2 linked regions of the Caenorhabditis elegans genome follow. The protein of the gene in region 1 interacts with the protein of each later gene in a pairwise test. Each region holds a gene or a part of one and is shown in the gene's direction. Other genes may lie near its edges. The genes, in order: arl-3 and dac-1.

Evidence for each region.
Region 2: the proteins of arl-3 (region 1) and dac-1 interact in a two-hybrid assay, tested with the Caenorhabditis elegans proteins (one large-scale study listed by BioGRID).

Annotation. Positions count from the first base shown.
Region 1 is NC_003280.10:14,601,866-14,612,666, forward strand, and holds arl-3 (ADP-ribosylation factor-like protein 3), read left to right. Parts: upstream 1-4,606; 5' UTR 4,607-5,346; coding exon 5,347-5,774; intron 5,775-6,059; coding exon 6,060-6,186; 3' UTR 6,187-6,453; downstream 6,454-10,801. Other genes in the region: tps-2 (Alpha,alpha-trehalose-phosphate synthase [UDP-forming] 2), read left to right, coding at 1-79, 134-834, 1,054-1,856, 1,902-2,210, 6,454-6,510, 6,845-6,970, 7,377-7,583, 7,627-7,872 and 3 more; pugs-2 (ShKT domain-containing protein), read right to left, coding at 2,341-2,649, 2,729-2,890, 3,098-3,250, 3,296-3,503, 3,674-3,753. UniProt on the Caenorhabditis elegans protein: GTP-binding protein that may be involved in protein trafficking; may modulate vesicle budding and uncoating within the Golgi apparatus.
Region 2 is NC_003281.10:811,953-826,338, forward strand, and holds dac-1 (Dachshund homolog dac-1), read left to right. Parts: upstream 1-4,192; 5' UTR 4,193-4,318; coding exon 4,319-4,367; intron 4,368-5,517; exon of another isoform or gene 5,518-5,609; intron 5,610-6,386; coding exon 6,387-6,664; intron 6,665-6,717; coding exon 6,718-6,819; intron 6,820-7,025; coding exon 7,026-7,132; intron 7,133-8,400; coding exon 8,401-8,486; intron 8,487-8,528; coding exon 8,529-8,643; intron 8,644-8,689; coding exon 8,690-8,810; intron 8,811-8,859; coding exon 8,860-9,052; intron 9,053-9,096; exon of another isoform or gene 9,097-9,117; intron 9,118-9,476; coding exon 9,477-9,688; 3' UTR 9,689-9,778; downstream 9,779-14,386. Other genes in the region: Dauer larva development regulatory growth factor daf-7, read left to right, coding at 1-114, 242-481, 543-724, 772-1,084, 1,135-1,323; clec-149 (C-type lectin domain-containing protein), read left to right, coding at 11,270-11,382, 11,905-12,328, 13,426-13,491, 13,594-13,801, 14,293-14,386. UniProt on the Caenorhabditis elegans protein: Transcription factor. Plays a role in the thermotactic response.

The DNA of each region.
Region 1 (10,801 bases):
ATCCAGTTATGTCGAAGGATCACGAAAACTTATGGTTGGCTAATTTGGGAATGAACATTAATGATAAAAAACAAAAAAGGTGAGAAATATAAAGACTAAAATCGTATTATAAGTAAAATCATAAAATTTCCAGACCCGGATCAGTAGCCTCCATCCCGGAATCATTCCCATCAACGAATACTCTGGGGCTTCCACTTATTAAGCAAACAATTGCGGAAGTGTTCTTCCACGTTCTCGCTGATGACGATATGGATGCACCGAAGAATGAGAAACAGAAGAAAGCTCGTGAAGAAATGTCTCTTCTTGGTGTCCTCAACAATTACAATCGCGGAAACTACAAGTTGAATCCGGTAGTTGTTCAAGAAGACGACTATAACGTTTACTATGGAGGCATCAGTAACGGACTACTATGGCCTGCACTTCACAATCTCCCAGAATACATTGTCAGTGAGTACGACGACGAGAAAATTCTCCGAGCTCATTGGTGCGCCTATGTTCGAGTCAATTACCAATTCGCAATTGACGCCGTGAGAAACAGTCGGCCACAAGATTTCATCTGGATCCATGACTACCATTTGATGCTTGTTGGAATGATCATGCAGTCTTTAGATCAACATCTAGAAGTCGGATTCTTCTTGCACATTCCCTTCCAGCCACCTGGAGAGTTTTTCTCAAAGTACTCCACTGTGGGATTTGCGGTGCTCAGAGGGTTGCTGAGGTTTACTAAAGTTGGATTCCAAACTCACAGGGATCGTACAAAATATATAGAACTTGTTCAACATTACTTTGGAACCGCGAAAATTGTGTATGACAATAAGATGGATATTTATTCCAGTGAGTTGATTGAGAGCATATTTTGGTAAAGCATTCAGGAACGAGTCTGATCAAAATTTTGAGCTTTGAGACAAATTCGGCAAATCGGCAAATTGCCGGTTTGCCAACTTGCCGGAAATTTTCAACCTCGGCAATTTGCTAGTTTGCCGAAATGCCAGAAAAAATCGTTTACCCACCTTCACCCTTCTTGGTTTGAAACTTAAAGAAATACATTTTCAGTAACAAATGAAGGATGGACATGCTCCCTCGGAGTCTTCCCGGTGAGCATTAAGAACGACGATTTCTTGAAATTTGTGGATCTTCCTGAAACCATCAAACTCAAAAATGACCTCCGAAAACGCGTCATGGGAGACACACCAGCCCCAGACGGTAGATTCTTCTTCTCGGTCGAAAGATTCGATTACACCAAAGGAATTATGGAAAAGCTTCAGGCCTATAAGAGGTATTTCGAGAGACATCCAGATCGAATTGGCAAGGATGTACTTTTTCAAATCGCTGTTACAAATCGAAGAAGTGTGGATACGTATCGAGTGTATCAGGATGAATGTATTGATCTTGCGGATAAGATCAATGAAATATTCAAAGATCCCAATAACCCCACATGGAAACCATTGGTCTTCCAAACTGACGGGCTTCCAAGAAGTGAACTAGTTGCTGCCTATCTTGCAATGGACATTGGTGTAGTAACTCCGAAGAAGGATGGAATGAACCTCGTCGCCAAAGAAATGCTTGTCTGTAATCCGAAAGCTGGACTAGTACTCTCTACAGGTGCAGGATCTGAAATTCAGTTCACTACTGCTGGGCTTTATAGCGATAAGGAGAAGAATTATCATAGAATTTCCAATGTCTTTGATCCGGACTCTTATTGCGATGCCTTCTACTCAGCGGCTTTGGAACCAGAGGATGTACGAGCAGAGCATGGAAAGAGGCTTCACGAGTTTATAATGGCCAATGATATTGAGAGATGGAGTTGTGCATTTTTGGATCCAAGTTGGACACATGAAGTTATCAGGCCAACTCAGGTAAAACATAGTTTGAAATAATTAACTAGTGCTTATCATTTTTAGGTTGAAACCCTCGACGACTTCTTCTCTCTGATGATGAAAACTCGCAATGTCCGCCGGCAAATTGTGGGTCGCGTCCTGAAAGGAATACCAATCCGTTCCCATTTTGCGATTTCTCTCCGCAATGCCAAAGAATCCTTGGAGCAGATCTGCAAACCTGGTACCCATACCGCCGAATTTAAATCTGGACCGGACTCAAAGGAAGTTGCTCACTTCGAGATTGATAATGAATTGCAAGAGTTTGAAAGAGATTTGAGTTTTATCGATTATGTGCAAAGTGATGATGCTGACAATGTGGAGCAGTTTGTAGATGTGAGTATATTTTTTAATCGCGTTGGTCTTGACGCGAAGAAATTTATAATTATAACTAGCATTATACTTATTTCGTTTATTAATTTATTCATTTTGTGCTCCTCTTCAAATTTTAAAGCGTGTAAAACAATTAATTATCTTTTAAAAGTGTCTCCACCAGTGTCTCATTTCCAATTTGTATCTCGTCTGTTGACAGCACCACAGTCTCATTCACATTGTGATTGTGCTCTTTTCTCATTCCATGTCCCTTCTTCATGTGCTTCTTGTGTTGGTTTGGTGGCTTTTGTGTGACTTCTGACTTTTCCATATGAATTTCGGGAAGGTTGTAGGACAGGCATTTCTTGCGGTATTGACGACACGCAAAGTGCTTTTTGTACTTGGCGGCGCAGATTTTTTGGAAGTTTAGACACTGCTCCAATGGGCTCACTTGAACATGGGTCTGGAATTTTCTCATTATTTTTATTTATAAACGGTAGTTATTATTTATTTAAATAAGGCTATAACACTCTATAACTCACTGAATTACTCGTCAATGTTGAATTATTGACTTCAATTTCTGGCAAGTTATATTTTCTACAGTGTCTTCTGAAAGTCTTGCAAGCATAATGTTTCTTGTACTTTTGACTACATTTTTTCTGCAGTTTCAAGCATTCGCCAGCGGTTTTTGGGTTTCGTGAGGTCTGAAAATTGTTCTTATAGGTAAACTATATTTAAAAATCTTAAAATGCAAAAATACTGAGAACGTTTGAGAACTTAAAAATTTTTATCATGGCTCAAAGTTGAACTTGCCTTTTTCAAAAATTTCAAGAGTTTTCTATAAAACTGGTCTATTAAGGCCAATTTTGAATCAATTTAAGTAATAACTTTACTCCAAAAAGCGAAATTACCTTTGATTTTCCCCTTTTCGAAATAGCCGCATCATATTCACAATTTTTCTCGAAAAAGTAGCAATGACCGTTGTACTTCTTTACGGCAAGGCAGTTTTTCTTCAAATCGTCACATTCAAATGAAACATCTTGCAGATCGGTTGTAGAGTTTCCCTAAAACAACGCAAAAATTACTTTTCTACTTTAATAAAAACTTACCACAGCGCCCAAAATGTTCACAATGGTCTCGTTTGATTTTAAGTGTCCACACCAAGATGGGCAGAGTCTTCCTTGAGATTCGTGGGTGGAATTTGAAGAATCGTCAAGGAGCAAAGCTTGAACTTTGTCTGGTTGGGAACAAGCCTCACATTGACATAGGTTAATATAGCAGGCCGAGTCAGAGAAGTAGAAGCAATAGTTGGCATCGCTGAAATATTTTTGTCAATAAATTTAGTCGAAACGTTAAAAGTACAATAATCTAAAACGGTATTTTCAGCCTCTCATTTAAAATTCCTGTTTATATTAATTCTTCGAATACATAACAGTAAGTAACAAAATGATGGTCCTCCAACACTTTCATTTAAAAAAAAAACTCACAGAATGTCGCAAATATCCGCCGTCTCCAAAACTCCAACAAAAGTCAGCGAAATAAACAAAACCACCAACCGTGATACCATCTTGTCAAAAAAGTTGAAAATAGAGATAGCGATATATTGTGTCTCCGCACCTGTCCTTGAAAAATAAAATTTCAAATTCGCAAACCTCCCCCTTATTCTGGCAAATGGATGAGAAGGGTGACCTACTTTTTCTACCGATATTGGAATTTTAGTAGCAGTTGAAAATGAGGAAAAGCGAACTGTAGGAGGAAAGTGAGAAAAAAAGAAGACGTATGGACATCAAGTGCACTTGAGATTTTAGGGCATTGGGAGGGAAACTGGATGAAATGGTTTGTTATTATTGACAAAATTATTTTATTAGATTCAGAAATGAATGGACATTTTCAAGTGATCATATGGTTTTGAAATTAGTTGGAACGAGTCTTACCAAAAACAAGATACGGTGCCAGAAATTATTCGCACTACTACGTTAATCATTTGTAAAACCTAATAATTTTGAAAAACTTGGTCAAGGTTGATTATCTAAAATGTCTATAGAAAATAGGTTATACGCAATGGAATGTGTACTTTTAAAAGTTTTATGTAGCCGGGAGCGAGAGTGGTCTCGATGACACGAAAAACAATTGCAGAGGGCGGGGGGCAATTTCGAATGCGTTGAGCTTTTTTCACATGATACTCATAACGCAAGGCTTACACTTGACCTATTGTTTAAATCGATGAAGACATATGCACACTAAAACGACTGCGGCAAAAAATTTGATATGAAACTTGATATTTGATTATTGAAATTTTTGAGTCTTTGTTTTTGCATTTTATGGTTTTTTTGTATGCAAAAATTATTGCAAGTTCAGCTGTTAGTAAATTTGTAGGCAATCAGGCAGGCACCAAGTTTTACTTTTTATTCAATTTTTTTGTCGACAAACTGGGCAAGTCTGCAAATTGTCGGTTTGCCGGTTTGCCGAAAATATTCGATTTGTCGGGGGTTTTTTATAAGACGAAACACTGTGCTTTTTTGAAGTTTTTTCCCCCATTTTCTTAAGATATTTTCATAGAATTCGTATATTTTTCAAAATTGATGTAGGAACATTCATAGGATGCGTGCAATTTTGTCAATTAAAATTGAAATTCTGAAATTTCCGAAAAAATACACAAAACCACAACTTTGAGCAACCTTTTTTTCAAATTCCTTTTTCCTCTCAAATTTTACATGCATCATAATATTCATCATTTGAGGAAATTTAAATATTCATACTTCATCAACATATTTCGAAATACTTTTAATCCCATTTCACCAACAATGGACTTGTACATTTTCTAATTTGCACTTCCCAAATCTATCCTAAAATCAGTTAATTGTAATGGAAACCTTCGAGAGCTCATCACGCGATTTTTCGCCACCGGCCACTTCATCTGACTCACAAACGTGCACACACAAAATGCGTGCTCAACATTTGAGCTCAGAAGCTAAGAGATGGGAGGAGCAGAGACGCACGAGCATGCACGTCTCTATGGTAACATACGGGAGCTAGAGAGTAAGCTTCTCTTCTCTCACTTGCAGACGTTGTCCTCATTCTCTCTCCTTCTCTCTCACACGTTTCCGGTTTTTCGTTCGAATTCTATTCTGGTATTCCTATCCCTTGACCTCTCACAAAAATGGGACTCATCGATGTTCTGAAATCATTCAAGTCACCCAGTGGCCGCGAAATCCGAATCCTTCTACTAGGACTCGACAACGCCGGTAAGACGACAATACTGAAGCAGCTGTCCTCTGAAGATGTTCAACACGTCACACCGACCAAGGGATTCAACGTGAAGACTGTCGCCGCTATGGGTGACATACGTCTAAACGTCTGGGACATCGGAGGTCAGCGATCGATTCGTCCGTATTGGTCCAACTACTACGAAAATATCGACACACTGATCTTCGTGATCGATAGTAATGACAAGAAGCGGTTCGACGAGATGAACATTGAGCTCGGCGAACTGCTTGACGAGGAGAAGCTTCGCAAGGTTCCGGTGCTCATATTTGCTAATAAACAGGATCTTGTCACAGCAGCGTCATCAGAGGAAATTACCAGAAAGTAAGTATTTTTCTTCAACAATAACAATTTATGGTTGTTAAAACGAATGACCTGGTTTGTCCTTTGCCTTCATACATAAAAAGCGAATGCCATTTCCCTCAAGGACTTTTTCTCTAATAAGCTAAACCTTCTTATATTAATAACACTGATAGAAATAGAAAATGTATTCATTCAGTTTTTTTTGAAAAGTTATCATCAGCTCACATCCAATTTCAAATTGCAATAAAAATGCATTGACAGCTTAATTCCTAAACTCCAAATTCTAATCTCCAAAATCACCTTCAGACTAAACCTGGACCTTCTCCGCGACCGCACTTGGCACATTCAAGCCTGCTCAGCGCTCAAAAACGAGGGCATCAACGACGGAATCACTTGGGTTGCTAGTAACCTGAAACCGGCTTCTAAAAAATAGATCATTGTATAATCCCACACAAAAAATCTTCCAGGGAGTATACAGTATTACCAGTGTTGCCCTAAGTTATCAATCGAGCGCAAGTGCTTCTCTCCCCACCATCTCTATCCATTTACAATATCTCTGTGGCAGTCTCTCATGCTTAGTATCTCCTTTTCCATGTTTTTTTCGTATATCAGTTAATAAATATCATACCACGTGGATTTATTAATAATTTTTTTAAATAGTGAATGTAATTGGCATTTATTTAAAAAAATTAAATTTCAGACACTCATCAGCTCACATCCAATTTCAGTGGAAACCTATAAGAAGGAAGTTGAAAATGTAAGGGTAGTACATAACTAAAGTGCCAATTAATTTCAATTTTGGATATTTCTAGGAAAACAAACCCCATCGAGTTTGGAAATTTTTTCTGAATTGTTTTTTAAAGAAAAAATAATTTTTTTTGAATTTTGTAAATGAAATTTTGGAAAATTATTAAAAGTACCTTAATCAACTATGGCTAACTGAACATTTTACTTGAACAATTTGAATCACCAAAATAACTGTTAGGAATAATTTTAAGTGCATCCAGAATTGTCCAGAGAATCAAAAATTCAGAGTTTTCTATCAAATCCAATTTATACCTCCACCACCCCAAACCAATTTTAACATTTAGGCCGTTGAGCTGCTCTACTCTGCTGATCATTTCCACTATTTCTTCACCGATCGAGACGGAACTTTGAAAAGTTATTCGTGCAGTTATCCGTCAAGTATTCAGCCAGCATATTCTGGAGTCATTCAGGTATGCAAATATGGAAAATTGGAGAATTTGTAGATATTATTTAAGTTTTAGAAAAAGGGTTCAAAAAAGTTTGCTCTGTTGCTCTCTGCTCTGTTACACTTTCGTAGTCATAATTTTAATTCTATACTAATATGTGATTATAGTTTGAATTTTTTCGTAGAAGTTCAGTATAAGGAATTGTTTATCACCAACCTAGAAATAAATCATAGTACATCTGTAATGTAGTTTAATGAAAAAGTATAGTTTGTAGTATTATATTTATTGCTATTTTTTTAATACCAAAAATATTCTAGTAAAATTGAAACTTTAAAAAAATTAATGTTAGTCAAGAAGTGGATAGTTTTTTGTTTTCACCTGTCACAAGTTGTGCTTGACAAATAACTATAATATTTATCAATTATTTTAGGCCCAATTTGCTCGCCGCTGTGCTCAAACCTGTGTAATTCTGACTACAGCTCCTCTAATGCACATCGGTGTTCTTGATGTGTCAACTATTCCAAATGGTTATTACTATTTTGGTGCATCCGGTGGCCGTGAGTGGTTCATCGACAATGGTCATAATTTCAAAGACGAGTCAATTTTGAAAGGAGAGAAGGCTGATGTCCTAGCAAGCGTAAGCTGAACTTTTCAAATGTCTCAAAACTTCAGTTTTTCAGGCGTACACACGAATCTCTCACTTGCTAGAGGAGCCCGAGTTCCGTCCATTCACATGGGTTGGCTCAGGACTACAAAAGCATTACGGTCACTTGACCATTGCGTTCCAAGACGTCTACAAGACAATCACCGAGGCTCAAGGAAAACAGCTACACGAAGAAATTGAGAAAATTGTGAAGGATGTGGATCCACATGGTACACGTCTTCAATTGGCTAGCACTGAATTTGACATTAAGGTTTATATGAAGGTATGTTTTACAGATTGTAGGGGAAAATCCGAAAGTGTTTTCCAGACAGAAACAGATGGTCACGTATTCGATAAGGGAGATGGATTAAGATTGCTGTGTGAGAAAATGCACTGTGATTTGACGGTAAGTGAATTTATAGTATTTTCAAAGTATTATACTCTGAAATTTAAGGTACAAAAACATTAGGAAATGTATTAAACTTACTTTTGAAACCTATGTTTGCTATTTAAAAGTAGATCTTTTGAATTGATGTCTATAAAAATGTGAAAACTGTGTTACACGTTTTTTTTTATTTAAAAAATAATAATCTCTCACTTGCTCGAGGAACATTACAATGAGAAATTTTCAGGAAGGCAACGTGTTGGTATGCGGAGACTCTTCCACTGATATTCCTATGCTTAAGGAATGTCTGATTAGAAATCCAAAAGGAGTCTACACAATTTGGGTTACTGTCAATGATAAATTGAAGGAAGAGGTAAGTTTTCAAAAGTGCTTTATTCAAATTCAATGAATAAAATTCATTTTTTCCAGGTCCGCGCTCTCTGCGCATCCTACTCAAACTCCAACGTCGCATTTGTCTCGTGCCCAGAGGTTCTGCTTGGTGCCATGGCCCAAGCCACCATCCGAGAGATAACCATCACAAGAACCCGCAAAATGTCACGAAATATTGTTTGACCGCAAAAAATGAAACCCACCGACTAACATTTTTCTGTCTGTATAGGTCTGACTACCATTTTTCTATGTTTTGTATGGGTTAATTAATTTTTTCGCATTTTCCAAGAAATTTTGAGCTGAAATAAAGGCTTTGTGTCCCTTTAGCTTTTGATCCATTATTCTTGAGGTCTCAGAAGAAAGGTTTGGTGATAAATTGGACACGTTAATGATTGATGAGACTGGCCGGAACGGGTGACAAGGTTATTAAAAAAGTTCGTTTAGTGAAAACGTTACCGTACCTAAAGGTTTATCAAAAATTTGGCACGAAGCGAATTCTACTTCAAGGCGTGATAGATTACTGTACTTGACCTGAAATCCTAATTTTATTGATTTCTTCAATGTGTAAGTTCAGACACAGGAAATCAAGTCACTTTTTGATCCAGAGATGAAAAAGATACGATTTTTGATGATATCTAGGTAGTCGTTACGCTTCTTGAAACAACACAGACGGAAACATTTTATGAAAGGTTGAGGGGATGAAAGGGCAATTAAAAACAAAGCGAATCTAGTTAATACACCGTTGAGAGAAGGAGATAAAAAGTGAAAGTTGAAATATTATAGACTGATCACTGGATTAAGCTGATTAGTTAGATACAAAAAAAGACTATTCGGTTATATTCTAAGCCTATCAAAACAAAATCACTAGCTCTTTAGATCTTTAAAAACTGTAAACGTTAAAATTTTGGGTAATCGAGCTAAAAAAATTTAAATATTTCTAAAAGAAAAATTCAGTTTTTGAGATGGCAAATTTGATGCAGAAAAAAATTCGTGTGCCCAACTGTGGGGAAACAACTGCCAAGATGTTGTGACGTAGAAATTGTATGTACCAACTTTGCTGACTATCAAACAACTAGTTGGTACCTCTTCAATTTCGTTATCTCTATTTTTATGACCTTGGTGGATCCATATAATAGCTCAGACGAAACTCATTCATGCCAACCATATTTCTGACTGTAGAGACATAATTAATCAACTAACACTTATTAGAAAATTCAGATTGCCAAATTAGCCCCCTGTCTCTTGTCAGATCATTTCAATTTGGCACCCCCTCCCCCTTCCATGTCTAATCTAACAATAACATCGATGCGTCTTCCTGATCAAATTGTCGGAAAGGGTGATGACACGCTGGGTCAGATATCACATATCTTAGCCGGTTTTTCGAAATTGTTCCTTTTATCGTTCTCGATGAGGCTTCTCGATTTTAATGGCATAGCTTTTTAGGAGGAGGCTAGCTAATGAGGAACAAAATACAATAAATGAGTTTATAGGCGATATGGGTGTTTCTTGTAGAGTGACTGGTCATAGCGATCAGCTTAACTTTGACTCTTAACGTATCATTGTTTCTGTTTTTGTTCCAGTACCAGTAATAGTTTTGAAAACGAAAGACCAACAATTTTCCTTTCTGAGACAGGCATTTGAACATGTAAAAATGCTCTAAATTTCGCGAGAAGCCTTTTTTGTTTGGCGGTTTTCCAACACTTGGACTGAAAGTTTCTCCACTGTCCTGAACTTTTGCCAATTTTCCCCACTTTTGTAGACCATAGCTTTATGCAAAATTTTTAATCCAGGTTTAATCTATAAAGTCTTTTAAACGTTTTTTTTGTTTTGCTCCCTTTTGAATTTCTACCATAACGCAAACTTAAAAAAATAAACATGATTTTGATCTTAACGCTTTTGATTTTTCACTCCCTGCAAGCTGAGAAACTAGCTATTTGAAAATTTAGCGTATTTTGTACCGTTCGATAAGATACTGATAAGACTCGGATTTCTTAAGCATCAGTTTCGAATAGAAGAGTTTTGAACTTTTGGGATTCCAAGGGTAATGTTTCCTAGCTTTCAGATAAAACTCTTCAGACTGGAAAGACTTTATGGAAATTTTTCGTACTTTTAGATTTATGTGTTGCATTTTGCCAGTTGAATGTTTTTTCTAATGTCATTTTTTGACCTATACAACAAACGAAATTTAACTAGAATTATGGGCAGTACTGTAGAAAACTTGGTATGTAAAATAGAACAAAAAATTGCACTCAACAACAATAGTTTTTGAAACATCCAAACTATAGTAATGTTATTCTAAGAAGTGACAATAATCGAACGGCGAATGATAAACGGCACCTTAACATTTATCTAAATATCGAATTTTATACCTAAATCCTACCGCATCATTCGACCAAAAACTATATGATGTCACTTTTGGTCAGTATGAACAAAAAAG
Region 2 (14,386 bases), on another chromosome or scaffold:
TCACTCCCGGTGTTTATCTTCCTTCTTTCCCTCCCACATGGTTTGACGTTCAACTGCACCAACTCAGGTGTTTGTATTGAAAAGATGAAGCAGCACCGAACAGAGTACCTTAAGGTGAGCATTATTTGATCCTGTAAGATCATTCAAGCTTATCCGGATTTGACGAAACTTTACTAGTCCACTAGTTTGTTTGATCACTGTGATTGTGTCTTACTTTAATGTTTCATTTTACATTCTTTAGAACGAAATTCTCGACCAGCTGAACATGAAAGAGGCACCAAAGGGATTGAAGCCAATGGACCCAGAAATGAAGTCAGTCTACCTGGAGATGTATAGGGACTTACTGGAGAAGGACGAGCAGGATATGGGCGTTGAAATGTCATTCTACACCGCCAAAGATCCAAGTTATGGAGAGAACCCGTCGCAGCTTGTTGCCAAGTTTGACGTCACAAATGATTTGGAAAGAAGCGATATTCTTCAGGTATCGTTTGGTTTTTTTTTAAAAAGAATCCTTTTATTAAATTTCAATTATCAAATTTCAGGCCACACTCACAGTATCAATTGAGATTCCTGCAAAGGATTCAGGGATGCTTCAAGATGTTCAAGTTCAAGTTTACGAGAAGAACGAGGATGGATCAATGGGAGAGATGGTCACTTCTGGAATTTTCGCTACAAAGGGATCCGAACGTATCAGCATTCAACTTCCAATTGATACTGTCAAAAGGTATGACGAGCAAACAAATTGCAGGCGACTAATTTTAAATATTCCAGTTGGTTCACAATTTCTCCGATCCAAGGTATCTTCGTCAAGGCAATGCTCGACGGGCGCAACGTTGCCCTTCATCCCCAACAGACCACTGCTGACGTTGACAACATGCGTCTTCAGCTCTCCACTCGTCCAAAGGGGTCCCGCAAACGCCGTTCTCATGCCAAACCGGTTTGCAATGCCGAAGCACAGTCCAAGGGGTGCTGCTTGTATGACCTCGAAATCGAATTCGAAAAGATCGGATGGGACTGGATCGTGGCCCCACCACGTTACAATGCCTACATGTGCCGCGGGGATTGCCACTATAACGCACACCACGTACGTTTCTTGTTGTCTCATAACGTTTCCAAAATGAAAAAATATTTCAGTTCAACTTGGCGGAAACCGGACACAGCAAGATCATGCGCGCAGCTCACAAAGTCTCCAATCCTGAGATCGGATACTGCTGCCATCCAACCGAGTACGACTACATCAAGCTGATCTATGTCAACCGCGACGGACGCGTCTCAATCGCCAATGTCAACGGAATGATCGCCAAGAAATGCGGTTGCTCATAAATTCCACTTCCGATTGTCACAAATGTTAAGTAGTCACCGATTTGTTTCTTCTTAATGAATCAAAATTCATGATTTCAACCCCGTAGTCACATATCCTCTCCTTAGTTGTAGATCCTTCCCTCCATCCCGTTCATCCTCAAATCACGAGGAGCTTCTCTTCTGTCGGTCTCCTTTCCCTCGATCTCATCCCAGAATGCTCGCCGAAATAATTATTTCCGAATCGTGTGTTCACCATTCACCATCCATCTGATATATCCTTTGTCAGCTCTCTCTTTTCGTACCTCGGATCCTTCCACTACCTCCTTCGACAAATGTTGTTCCCCTCCCGAAAGCAACAATGTGATAGGCAACGACTCCTTCTCCCATTTTTATGTGTGTCTGTGCGTGCGTAGTTGTGTTTTCTGAGATTCAATTTCAACAAACCACGCACTTTTTCATCATCATTGACAAGAATATGTTATAAAACACTGTGATTGAGGAATAAATTATTGAGTGCTGTTACACATTTTCTTTAGAGTTTTAAACTCTAAAAATGGCCACCAGAGGCGCCTCGAGCTTAATTTTTTACTTAAAAATTAAGAAAAAATGGGCAAAATACTTGCAAAAAACGTTCTGCAGCATTTTATATAGTTTTCTGAGAAATTGCTTGAACGGTAACAATGAGCTTTAAAGTTCTCATATTTACCACGGTTGTACGATTTAACAAAAATCTCCATACACTTGGTGTCAGGTCTGGACAGTTCTGTTGCCACTTTGCTAAACAAGACAACTGTTTTCATTGAATTTCATTCCTACAAATACGACAGTAAAGTTTATATTTCCCTGTTCTCTAGAACATGACATTAGAAACCATTCCCAACAATCGTTTGAAAAAGTTGCATTAGCAAGGAGAAGAATTTAATGTAAAGAGACAAGTAGATAAGGATCTTAAGTTGTTCGTTTAGTTCGTTTTTTCGGTGAATGATAGAATGAATACAAAAAGGTATTGAACTGTTCCGAAAAACTATTAGGAACTTCCCGAAATTAAGTTTTGAAAATAATCACAACTGATTTAACCATTTGGATTATCCAGTTGTTGAACCACATAATCACTTTTCTACTTGAAATCGTTGCCATGTTGCAAATCTAGATTGAGATTTAAATCTTCATTGGCTCCAGATTCTTGCCTCAAAAGATGTTTTGGAGAATGTTTGGTTCTTACCAAAAATTTTTGATTATGTACTAAAATGTAAAAAATGATTTTGATTTCCTATGATTTCCTATGACCTTTCAGTGTTTATTCTCAATTCGGATTGTTTAGCAAAAAAAAATTAGTTCCGGACAAGTCTGACACAAAACAATTTTATCACTGATCTGAAATTTGTCTCAACTTCTAATTGTAAGAAAAAGCTTGTGCGGTACATATTTGACTCCTGAGTAATATGGTTATACAGTTTTTGTTACTATCTTCCGAAAAACATCCCCCGCCGCACTATACATTCGGATACATGCGGCGACTTCATGAAAGCCCTAGTCTAATTGCGTTTTAATAAGAATTTATCCGGATGATCACTGTTTTATAAAGATTGCCAACTAAATTGATATTTTTTATAATTTTCACAAATAAGCGTACTGTATCAGCTCTAATTTGCCTCAAGAACTTGCACCACTATAAAAAATGAATTTCTCATGCGTCTAGAGCTCAAATTACGTTTCACTCATTCAGCCATGATTATATCAATGCAGATGTAGGCTACACGTTTAGTAGCTTCAGAGCAGCAGCAAGTCTATAAATACCCAAAAAAAATTGGAAAGCCTCTGAATCATTGTGTGTGTGTGAGTGAGCAAAAGTTCAGCTACAAAAATGGATTTTGATCTCTTGTTTTATGGCTTCAATTATCAACATTTTCAAATTTTAAATTATTTTTTCCCGAAATTTAAATTTTTCTGACTTTGAATTTTTGACTTTTTGGCGATTAAATGAAGCCATTTTTCGAAATATTTTTTTCTTGGCGAGAGAAAATAATTATATAGAGGAATGGTATAAAAAGTTCCAAATTTAAAGGGGGAGCTGGATGTTTTTCAAGAGAAAAGAGTACAGTAAGATTTTAATGAAAAATTTCTTTTCAGCTGGAGAAACTTAAAATTTTCTAAAAAACGGCACATTGCCGGAATTGAAAATTCCCGGCAAATCGGCAAATTGATTTTTGGAAATTTCTGAATTTCTACTTCAATTGGCAAAATTGAACGCGTCCTACAAATGTTCCTACATCTATTTTGAAAAGTAAGCAAATTCTATGAAAATATTGAAGAAAACGGGAAAAAATTTCAAAAAGGCAATCAAGTGTTTCCGTCTTATAAAAATTCCTCTAAACATTTCCGGCAAAGCTGATATTCGACGAAAGGCAATTTGGGAATACGCCAAAAATGAAAATTTCCGATAAATCGGCGAACCGCCAATTTGCCGATTTGCCGGATTTGTTGACAAAAAAATTGTCGAACGGCAATTGCCACCCACCGCCCACTGGCACTAATTTCAAATACTTTTCATAGCAAAATCCACCACAGGGACATTTCATAGTCAAAACAATAATTAAAATTAAAATTAAATGTTTTTTTTAAATTTTACTCTGACTGAAATTGATGACGAGAAGGTAAATATTCAAATTTCTCGTATAAGACAAACTTCTCCACAAAATCTATTTTCAGGTTACAAATCAATTAGAAAAAAATCCATTCATGCCGATTTTCTCATTCCTTTCCTCCTTTTTCTTTTCCTCCTTCATTCAATAGCAATAGCAATAAACTAAGTTTGTCTCAAGGTGGAATGTCCTGTAATGTAATGAACAGAAGAACTCCTATTCAGTTCTTCGTCTTCGTCTTCACCTGTCTTCAAGATCCTAATCTGCGAAATGATGGCAACCACATTTCACCATTCAGTTGCGAATTTCTTTCATCTGAATGTGAAGAGTTTCGTGTGTCTTCTTGAACCATTCGAATGAATTCGCTGGCAGCAATGCAGGAACTCAGCCAACTTGGCGGATATTTTCAAAAACTTGCTGCAGGTATTTGAAAATTTCAAACCGTTAAAAAATGAGCCCTTTTGATTCCGTGACAATTTCTGACGTTTTAAGCTAGACTTTTTTGAAAGAAATTTTTTTAAATAAACTTTAGAATATCTAACTGATTCTGACTCCAATTCAAAATAAAGAAGAGAGATTTTTCTTTGATATAGAACTACATTTTTCGCGTCAAAAAGTTTTTGACTTTTTTTTCTCGTTTTAAGAAACTTGTTATAACCTGAAACATGAATTTGAGTAGCGGACGCCTTGGGACGATCTTTTAAAACATACTAATTTTCTAATTTTCTTTGTGGATTATGTAAGTAAGCGTTGTAGAGTAAGTTACTCCTTTAAAGTAACAAACTATTGTATTATCTCAATAGTCTTGCAGCATCTATTGCTCTCACACCGCATTAGAGCATACAAGTCATTCGAAAATCATTTTTACGTGCAAGGAGATACTGTGCAATTCTTTCCGGCAAGTCGGCAAATTGCCGGAATTGAAATTTCCGGCAAATCGGTAAATTGCCGGGATTGAAAATTTCCGGCAAATCGTGCAAACCGGCTATTTTCCGATTTGCCGAATTTTTCCGAAAAAACGGCAATTGCCGTAAATGTTCGGCAAATTATAGCTTTGCACATTGTTTTTGGAAGTTGCCGGAATTGAAAATTAAAAAACAAAAAAATTTGCCGAACGGCACTTGCTGCTCTCCCCTGATACGTATGTATATCAATTTTTCATTGCTCTCTAAAAAGTGATGTCATTTTCTTGAAGATATTTTTCCCAGAAAGCTCGGAATCAATAATCGAAGCTGACTTTAAACTTAATTTCAAATGAAATTGTGACGTAGAAATTCTGGAACAATAGGGTTGATCACCATTACGAAATAGACTAGGTATGTCATCAATAAGTACGTCAGTTCTTTTTTTGCCTATTTATTCCCCACATGAGCGTCATCTAATACATGCTTACTCTATCAAAAACGAAAAATCGGTAAATATTTATGTGTAGGAGCACTTAGAAATATTAGAAAATCACCCGTACATTACCTGTGTGAGGATTTTCGGATGGTAATCCGGATTTGTCGGTGGGATAACGGGGTTGTGCCAGAGAAAAATGAGGATACCTTATTTTCGCGCTCACTTCAATTCCTATTCCATTTCACATCAACATCAAACATACAAATTCTACCTATTGCTTACAACTATTATCAGTATTTGATTATATGGATATCGATGAAAGAGGTTGATGTACACATGGTCTAATAACGCATGTTGTTTCAGATTTGAGAGTTGTAGTGATAGTTTAAGCGGCGAAACTAAACTTATCGCCATTTTTTTGGAATTTTTTTGAAAAACAATTTCAATGTTTTAGAGGTGTTTACTATATTAGGCAGATAAGCAATTCGGTTAGTTAAAAATTTTTTGGTAGGATTGAGTGAAAACTCTTAAAATTGCCGAAAAAGTAGTATTTGGGTTATTAAGATGCATCAACAGCGATTAGAGCTTGCAGAATATTTGAAGATGGAGTAGCACCAGTGGGGGAAGTGTTAAAAAGTACTCATAGGTGCCAAAATGACAGAATATCATAATAAAAAAAAAACTTTTCAAAAATTTTTTGAAATTTTTTTATTTACTGTCAAAAAGTGACAATTACTCAGTTTTTGCCACTCATAATTTTGGAAGTCGACCAAAAAATTTTTTTTCCTACTTTTTTATACTGCAATTTTGTTTTTATTATTTTTATTAAAACATTGTAGGGGTCGGAACATGCGACATTGCTTTGGATCTCCTTAAAAGCTCTTTTTTTTTTTGGCACTTTGCAAAAATTTGTCCGGAAATTATAAAAAATCTAAAACTTTTTGGAATGTATTATTATTATATTAAGTCGTTCTGGATCATTATAAATGTATTTAGACAAAATCCCCAATGGCGCTACTTCACCTTTAAGCTGAGCCATAAAATGTAGTATGCCAAGCGTTTCCAAAAAGAACAGAAAGAGTGTAAAATTAAAAATTCCAGGCGGATTCGTGATCAACCCATCTTCTTCTTCTTCCTCATCGAACAATTCCTCATCTAACACTTCTTCGTCCAATTTTCTATCTCCATATGAGTATCAAGAATCCTCGACCTCACCACGTGACACTACAGATTCATCTGGTGAATCCTCGTTGTCCTCTTCTGGCTCTTCATCTTCACTGAATGGTTCTTGTAATGTTGCAGCCAAGTTGATCAAGTTCCGCGGGCATAACGTCGCCGCTTTTGACATAAACGGCAAAGAAATGATTTGTTTGCCTCAGGTATGAGCTTTTTTTGTGAAAACGAAATAGTCTAGAAGACATGAGAAGTTTAGGTGTACGAGGTATTTCTCAAAAATATGGTAGGAGGACTTCATACGGTATACACTAAACTCAAACGGTTGTACATTCATCCGATGGTTTGCAATGTAGAACAGGTAAAAATTCTTGTCCACTAACAAATTTTAGAATAATTTGAAAATTCACCTGACTGACAATATTCTAAACCAATTAAATAACCCGTAAAAGAATCTGATGTTTAATCTCTTTTTTAAAGAAAATAAAAATCTCTCATAATCCGCATGCAAATACGGATATTTTATCGTTATCCTTCTATAAAATCTCCACCATCCACGACTTTTAGGTGCGCGCCCTTCGATCACTTGGAGCTATCCAGCCGGGTGTCAACCGATGTAAACTACTCAAGACTTCGGATTTCGAGAAACTCTATGACGATTGTACAAGCACTTGGTGGGCGTTTTTACTTTTTGGGATCATCAGGTGATGAAAGTGTCATATTTCCAAAGTAGCATCAAACTTGGCTTGGAAATTTTGATTTCTGATAACTCTGTCAAGTCAGGCGAATGCTATTACGCTATTACTATGCGCTTAGCTTCATAAGATAGAGGTTTTTTCACTTCCTATTTTCCAAGCTACAGAAGAAACTACGACAAGTTATTTTACTTTGAAAAAAATGGATTTTCCAGTTGGTAGAAGATTGGTTTTTTATGAAGAGTATGATATGGAGAGTTTTAAACCTCCTACCGAAGAAACAACTTCTGACAGGTGATTTCTAAGGTGTTTCACGAGAATTGTTTCCTTATCACTTACATTAGGGATCCCAGCTGAAATGCGGGCCTCACGTCGACGCCGCTGTGTGTGCACAACGGTGTGCGAAAAGCTAATTATTTGGAAGCGGCCGACACATTCGGGGTTCAGCGCGGCACTATACATTCGGATAAATGAGGCGTGATTGACGCCGTGAGGCTGGCGCAGGCGACGTGGCGGCGACCTCATGGGAGCCAGAGGTGGGCAGATATTTTTTCGGATATTTTCTAATAATGAATTTATCAATTAATATTGATGTAGTTATTCTGGAAGAAATGTATCCGAACCAAAGAGTGGGGGGGGGGGGGGGGCCTATTAAGCAACATTTTAATATGATAAAACCTAGAAAAATTCTACAAGTTTTCCTTACCGAGACCTTAAAACTTATTAGCCGAGCAACATCGGATATCGGATATTACGGATATCGGATAATGGACTTGCATATCGTTTATACAGAAAACTTGTAGAATTTTCCTAGGTTTTATCATATTAAAATGTTGCTTAATAGTTACTCTTTTGTTCGGATACATTTCTTCCAGAATAACTACATCAATACTTATTGATAAATTCATTATTAGAAAATATCCGAAAAAAATATCCGCCCACCTCTGATGGGAGCCCTATTGCAAAAAGCGTCCCTCCTGGATGAAGATTTACCAAGGTTAACCCGGTTTTCGTAGAAGTTTAGCATAAAGGATCAAACTTTAAATGATTGACTGCTACTGTTGAGTACGTAGTTTTGGGAAAAAATAGCTCTAGTAAATATATTAGCAAATCATTAGAGCATTAGTTCAGAGATTCAATAGGCACTAATAGTTGAAATTAATGTCCCGAAAACATTGCTCCTGAATTTCAAAAAAATCATTAAATTTAAGAAGTACATCTAAATATTACTAATCCTTCGCTTTCAGTACCCGCCCTGGGCGCCCATCAAAAAGAAGCTTTGATGATTGGAATAACGGCGCAGTAATAATTAAGAAAGATAAAACGGATTCAGGTAAACTTTTCACAGATATACTCGATTAATTCAATTTTTTAGAGCCTGTGAATGGGCCCGTATTCAACCAACTAATGCAACCGCAAATGACGCCTCAACAAATTTTGATGCAACACTTTGTTGCGCTTTCTCAGAAGACGAAAAATAGTTTTGAGAGGTTAGTCGAGTCATTTTCTATTGTTCATAACTTCAGCAATGTTTAGAGCAGATGATGATGATCAAAATCAGAGAGACGCTGATGATATAACGCCATTGAATCTAAGTAAAAGTGGAGGAAATTCTGAGAATGACTCAGATTCTTTAGAAAATATGAGAAAAGAAGATGTGAGGCACACATTTATAGTTTGTTTGCATCCAACCTTAAACATTTTAGTCCTCACCAAACACGTCTGTTAGTGATCGTGGTGGCTCCAACTCAAATTCATTGTCAATGTCAATGGAGGCTGGGAGTAGTAGTAGTAGTGGCAAAAACGATGAAGCTTCTATGATGAATAAAGTAATGTCCTTAATTGAACTTGCTAGCCAACAGTTCAAGCATGAAAGAGAAGAGCTATGGAAAGAGCGAAGTGAGTTTTGGACTATATTCTTCTTGAATAACACATGGTTCATTGCAAGGGTCCTACATTTCCAAACATTTTAAAACTATTCTTGTCACTTATTTCTCAAGACCTGATAACTGTAAAGTATTTTTACTAATCCTACTTTTTTGATCTCCAATGCCTTCCATGACTAATCGTGAATAAGGTTTCAGACAAATCTCTCTTTTTCTGAAATTCCACTCTTTTGAAATGTATTTCAAGTCTAATCCGGTATTTTACTTATTAAGGGAAGCCAAATGAAACCAATATTATTTTGAAACATTTTAATGAATGATATCAGTTTTTTCTTACAATAAGTGAATATGTTTTGAACGGATAGGGCGAATTTTTGATTGATATAACAACAAAAAAAAACTACGTAGCAAAAATAATTCAAAAAATAAGTTTTCAGGCGAAATACAAGTTCTTCGAGAGAGTTTTCACAAGATTGTGCAAGAAGAACGCGATTTGCGCAAAAAGCTCGAAACTCAGAACAAGAAATGCACGGCTTTCGAAAAACGCTACAAATATGTCAAAAAACAACTATTGCTGGCGAATGCGGACCTGAGAAGATATAAGGAAAAGGAGGAGCAGTCTTCGGACGGAAATTCTGTGGAACTTTGAAGCTTTTTTTTTGAAATCAATTCAATTTTTTTCAGAATTACGAACTAAGTATTTTTGTGTAGAAAAAAGCACTAAATAAACTGTCATATGAAATTGCGATTTTGTTGACAAAAAATGGAAGACAATAGAAATTACATTTTCGCGTATTCCGATTCTTTCATCTTCCGATTCCAACCGTTTTTCGTAAGACTCCCATGAGGTCGCCGCAACGGCACCCGCGCCAGCCTGAATTTTTTAAGCATATTTTTCAACAACCAGGAGGATTTTTTCAGCAACCAGGAGGACTCCACAGTGGTAAACTTCTTTCGAGATTTTTAAAAGATCCAGAAATCAAAATTTTGATTTTTTGCGGGCATGAGATGATGGATTATCCTCCCCCAGCCTCCCCACATATTGAATGATCGGAATCTGCGGGGCGCTTCACTGACTGACACAGGAAATAATTCATCATATTTGTTGTGTTGGGATAAGCATTGACAAGATGGATCACAAGTGGCGAACTTTGGTTTTTTAAGACGGCTGATGGGATATCTAGAGTGCGTCGGAAAGTTAACAGTGTATGTTTGACTATTGTTGCTCCCCTGCAACAATAACACTGATTTTCCGCACTTTCAGAATGAATCTGGTCAAAATTTGAATGCATCAAAATTCGACTATTACTGATTACCTCTAAAGTGTTAAAATTCGTTGAATTTTTTTCTGAAAACCAAATATGATTTATTTTGACTACTTGAAAGCGATAAGAATTGGCTTGTGTAATTCGTATATGAACCTTGTTGTGAAAAAATTCCAGATAAAAACTGAAATGGACCTCTCTAAGTACTCGTTAGCTATATCAGAAAGGATCGGAAACTTTTCAAATCAACAAAATTTGTTTCGATCACAACGTGTCTTGTGCACAAAGTCCAACAGGATTGCTTGACCACAACAATATCGTTTTTTTTTCATTATTTTTCCACCAGAAAGATATCAAAAAGCGTGATGGAAAAAAGAAATGCCAACTGTTTTATATCTTCCCAAATTTTCCCCTTCTCTCAATCCACACTTCTCTTTTCTCCTGGATCCATCATTTGCTCAAAGTTTTCCTTTCCATTTGCTCCGGGTGTCCTCATGTCCCATTGACCTGATTTATGGGAGAAATGGAAGAGGGCTTGTTTCTTTATGATACCCAATAAACTTTCTACCCAATGTGTACTTTTTGTTTCTTGTCTCTAAGATGCTTTTACGCACAGCAACTGCCATTTTCTTTTTGTGTTTTAGATTTTTTAAAATTAAGTATTTATTTTAAAACGGTAGGAAGCAAAATTTTAAGCGGCATAACACAAATTGTTTTAACATTTTTTCATAGTATCTTTGCACTAATTTCAAGATTCTTATGCACCAAAAACATTTAGACTTTCGATTTCTAAAAAGTGCTCACAAGTAGGTTGACAATCTAAAACTCTTTTCAAAAACCTGTTTTTTAAAATTTCCTTGGATATTGAATGTCTTCAAAACTTCGAAAGTAGTGCTAAATTGCACTGAAACATTTTTAGGTCGAAAAGTTGAAATGTGGCATTATTTTATATATTGAAATTTCAGATGACAGCTTCACTAATTTTATTACCGGTATTACTAAACATACTCTATCAACCAGCAGGATCATCTCTGCCTACCTTTTCCCCGGGAAACAAGCACCTCTGCGAGGGCTTTGGGTGAGTTGTATTCATTTTTAAAAAGTGTTTCACAAAAACCAGGGCTCCCAACTGAGTGAGGCGCGAAATGCGGGCCTCACGCCGACACGTGTGCTATGTGGCGATAGGTCGCAACAGGTCGACCTAGCCTATCTTTGAGCAACTTCAATGAATAAAGTGTCTACCTCGAAAGAAAATTTGAGTAAATGGATCATGCTAATGTAATTTTTATTTTCAAAACTATGATTGAATTGTTGGTGAAGCTCTGCTGTGAAATAGGCAGGTCGACCTGTTGCCACTTATCGCCACCCTAGTGTGCGCAACGTAGTGCGAAAAAGTCGTTGTTGACGTGTTCGGGGTACCACCCCGCACTATACAGTCGGATACATGCGGCGTGAGTGACGCCGTGAGGCCGGCGCGGGCGCCGTTGCGTAACAGAAACAATAGTGAATGGTTCAGTCTGAAACATTTATGTCTGAGCCAAAATAAATGTTACTAGGAACTTGAAAACGTGCCTGCCTGCCTACTATAAAAATCTTGCAGGTTTAACTGGGCTGCAGAGATCAGGTGCCTACGAGATATAATCAACGATTGCGAAGAAGGAACACAAGAGAAGAGTAGAGGTGGACGATCCCTACAACGGTCTGAATTCCCAACAGACAACACTCCCCAAGCAGATTACGGCAACCCATACTCCTACCCACGTCCGTATAGTCGAACATACCATCGCAACTCGATAAGTCCTATCAGACCGCCAGTTCCAATGCCGATTCCACAAATTTCACAAGGATGTAACTGTAATCACGACATTGAAGCATTAGAGGCGAAGTTCGACAAAAAGTTATATGAAGTGAAGATGCATGCACAGTATGAGACGGAGAAGGGGGTTGGAGACCTTCGAAAACAATTTGAAACCGATCTTAGAGAATATGAAAGGATTACAACGAAGGATATCGTCGAGATTAAGGTTTGCTAAATTTAGTTGGGTTGTTTCTTGAAAATTTAAATTGAGAACTGATTCACAAAATGAATTCGAACAAACCGTGTTTGAGCTAGCATGGTGAGTGGATTTACTTAGTCTCAAACTTTGGAATAACACCTACTCGGCAGTTTGGTTCTCCTGTTCCTCACCCTTTTTTCACCTATCTTTCACCCTTTTTTCGCCTAGATTATATCGGCGAAATATAGCAGTGGAAGTGCGAAAGAAAGGTGAAGAAGTGCGAAAGATAGGAGAACCAAATTGCCGAGTATGTCATTTGAAAGAGGCCTTTTTTTGGTCCCTACGAAAATTTTAAAGGCAGAGGAGCACTTTGAACTGAATAAAAGTCGATCTGAAATTACAATCAGTCCATTTCTTCACAGCTTTAAAGGCTTGTAAAGTTGCTCCAAATAATAATTTTTGAAAATTTTTATGATTTTTAGGCTATTTCAAGGTAGACAAGTATTCTGGAAGCTTTTGGGAATTTGTATTCTTTTGGAAAAAAAGGAAAAATCCCTTGATGGAGTTGGGTGAAAAAATTTCAGATGTTTTCAAAAAAATAAAATTTTTTTTTAAATTCCGATTAATTTCAGGCCCCCTAAACATCCTAGAAATCTTCGAAAAATCTGAAACAAATCACATTTGGAGCCACTTTACGGGCCTCGAAAGTTATGAAAAAATGCACAGAAAGTTTTTCAGAGCGATTTTTTTCTACTCTGTCACTAAATTATTCTTATTGGTCACCTAAGATAGACTAGGAATTTTGCCTGATGCTCAAACCTTATCAGACTATTTATTGCGTTTAGTTAAAAATCGATACATTTTAAATTTTTCAACACATTGTAAAAATTCAATATTATAACTTAAGTTTCTACTATAATATACTTAGATATATTTATGGTACCATTCCAAACCAAAACACAATATATCAGCTTACTTGGAATCTGTGTTTTAAACTTATTCAAGCGCACTAAATTAATTAGCCGAAATACGAAAAATAACACTTTGGATAACAAACGTAGTGATAACACCGACGCAAGCAAAAAAAAGCGAAAGTTGATAACTAAAGGGATTTAAACATTCAGAGGCACCTCGACTATTTGCAAGCACCTCGAATAACAAATAACGATTTGGAGTACTTTTTTATTCAGGTTAGTTTAGAATCAATTCGAGAATTTTTGGATTTCCGTTGACGTTAAACCCAATATTGATAGTTTGAACTATAGTAGCTAACAATAAACACTCTCTTCCAGCGTGAAGAAAGTTGGTACACCGCATCTGAGAAGTGCATTGGATATGGTGCACACCTGGCATCCATCCACTCGCGACTTGAGCTCGGATTTGTTCAGCGACTTGTGCCTGTAAATCAAACTGCGTGGATTGGAGTTAATGATATACAGAAAGAAAATGTATTCAGGAATTCTGACGGGACGCCTGTCGATTTTTATAAATGGGGAAAAAGTTAGTTTTTAAAAAATTCAACTTTGTAGGTTAAGTTTGGAAACATTAAAAAAAGTTAAATTACCGTGCTCACTGTAGAACCACCGTTGCTGAAACTTTTTCAAATTGACAAGGTTTATTATCCTTTTTAAACAAAATATAAGGAATGATCAATTAAAAGATTATAACCTCCTTGCCTACTAAATAACTTTTCAAAATCAAGTTTTTAAAAGTTGTACGCAGGGATGTGCGGCAATCGGAATTCAAAATTTCCAATTTGTTCGGCAATTGCCGAAATTGCTGATTGCCGGACATTTTCGGCAATTTTCAAACCTAATTATATGTTAGAAATTGAAAAAATTTCACCTTGTTTTTTAGTATTCGGTTAGTAATTTTCTAAAAGAAAGTGATCAATCCTTAGAGGATTACACCATTTTGAGCATGAAAATAGAAAATTGTTCACAATTGCCGCACAACCCTGATTGTACGGTCAAAACAATGATAACTTGCAGAACAACCGGATAACCAGGAACACAACGAGAATTGTGTAGAAGTTGATCACAGTGGGCAGTGGACCGATAAACTATGCATTATTACTAGGCCATT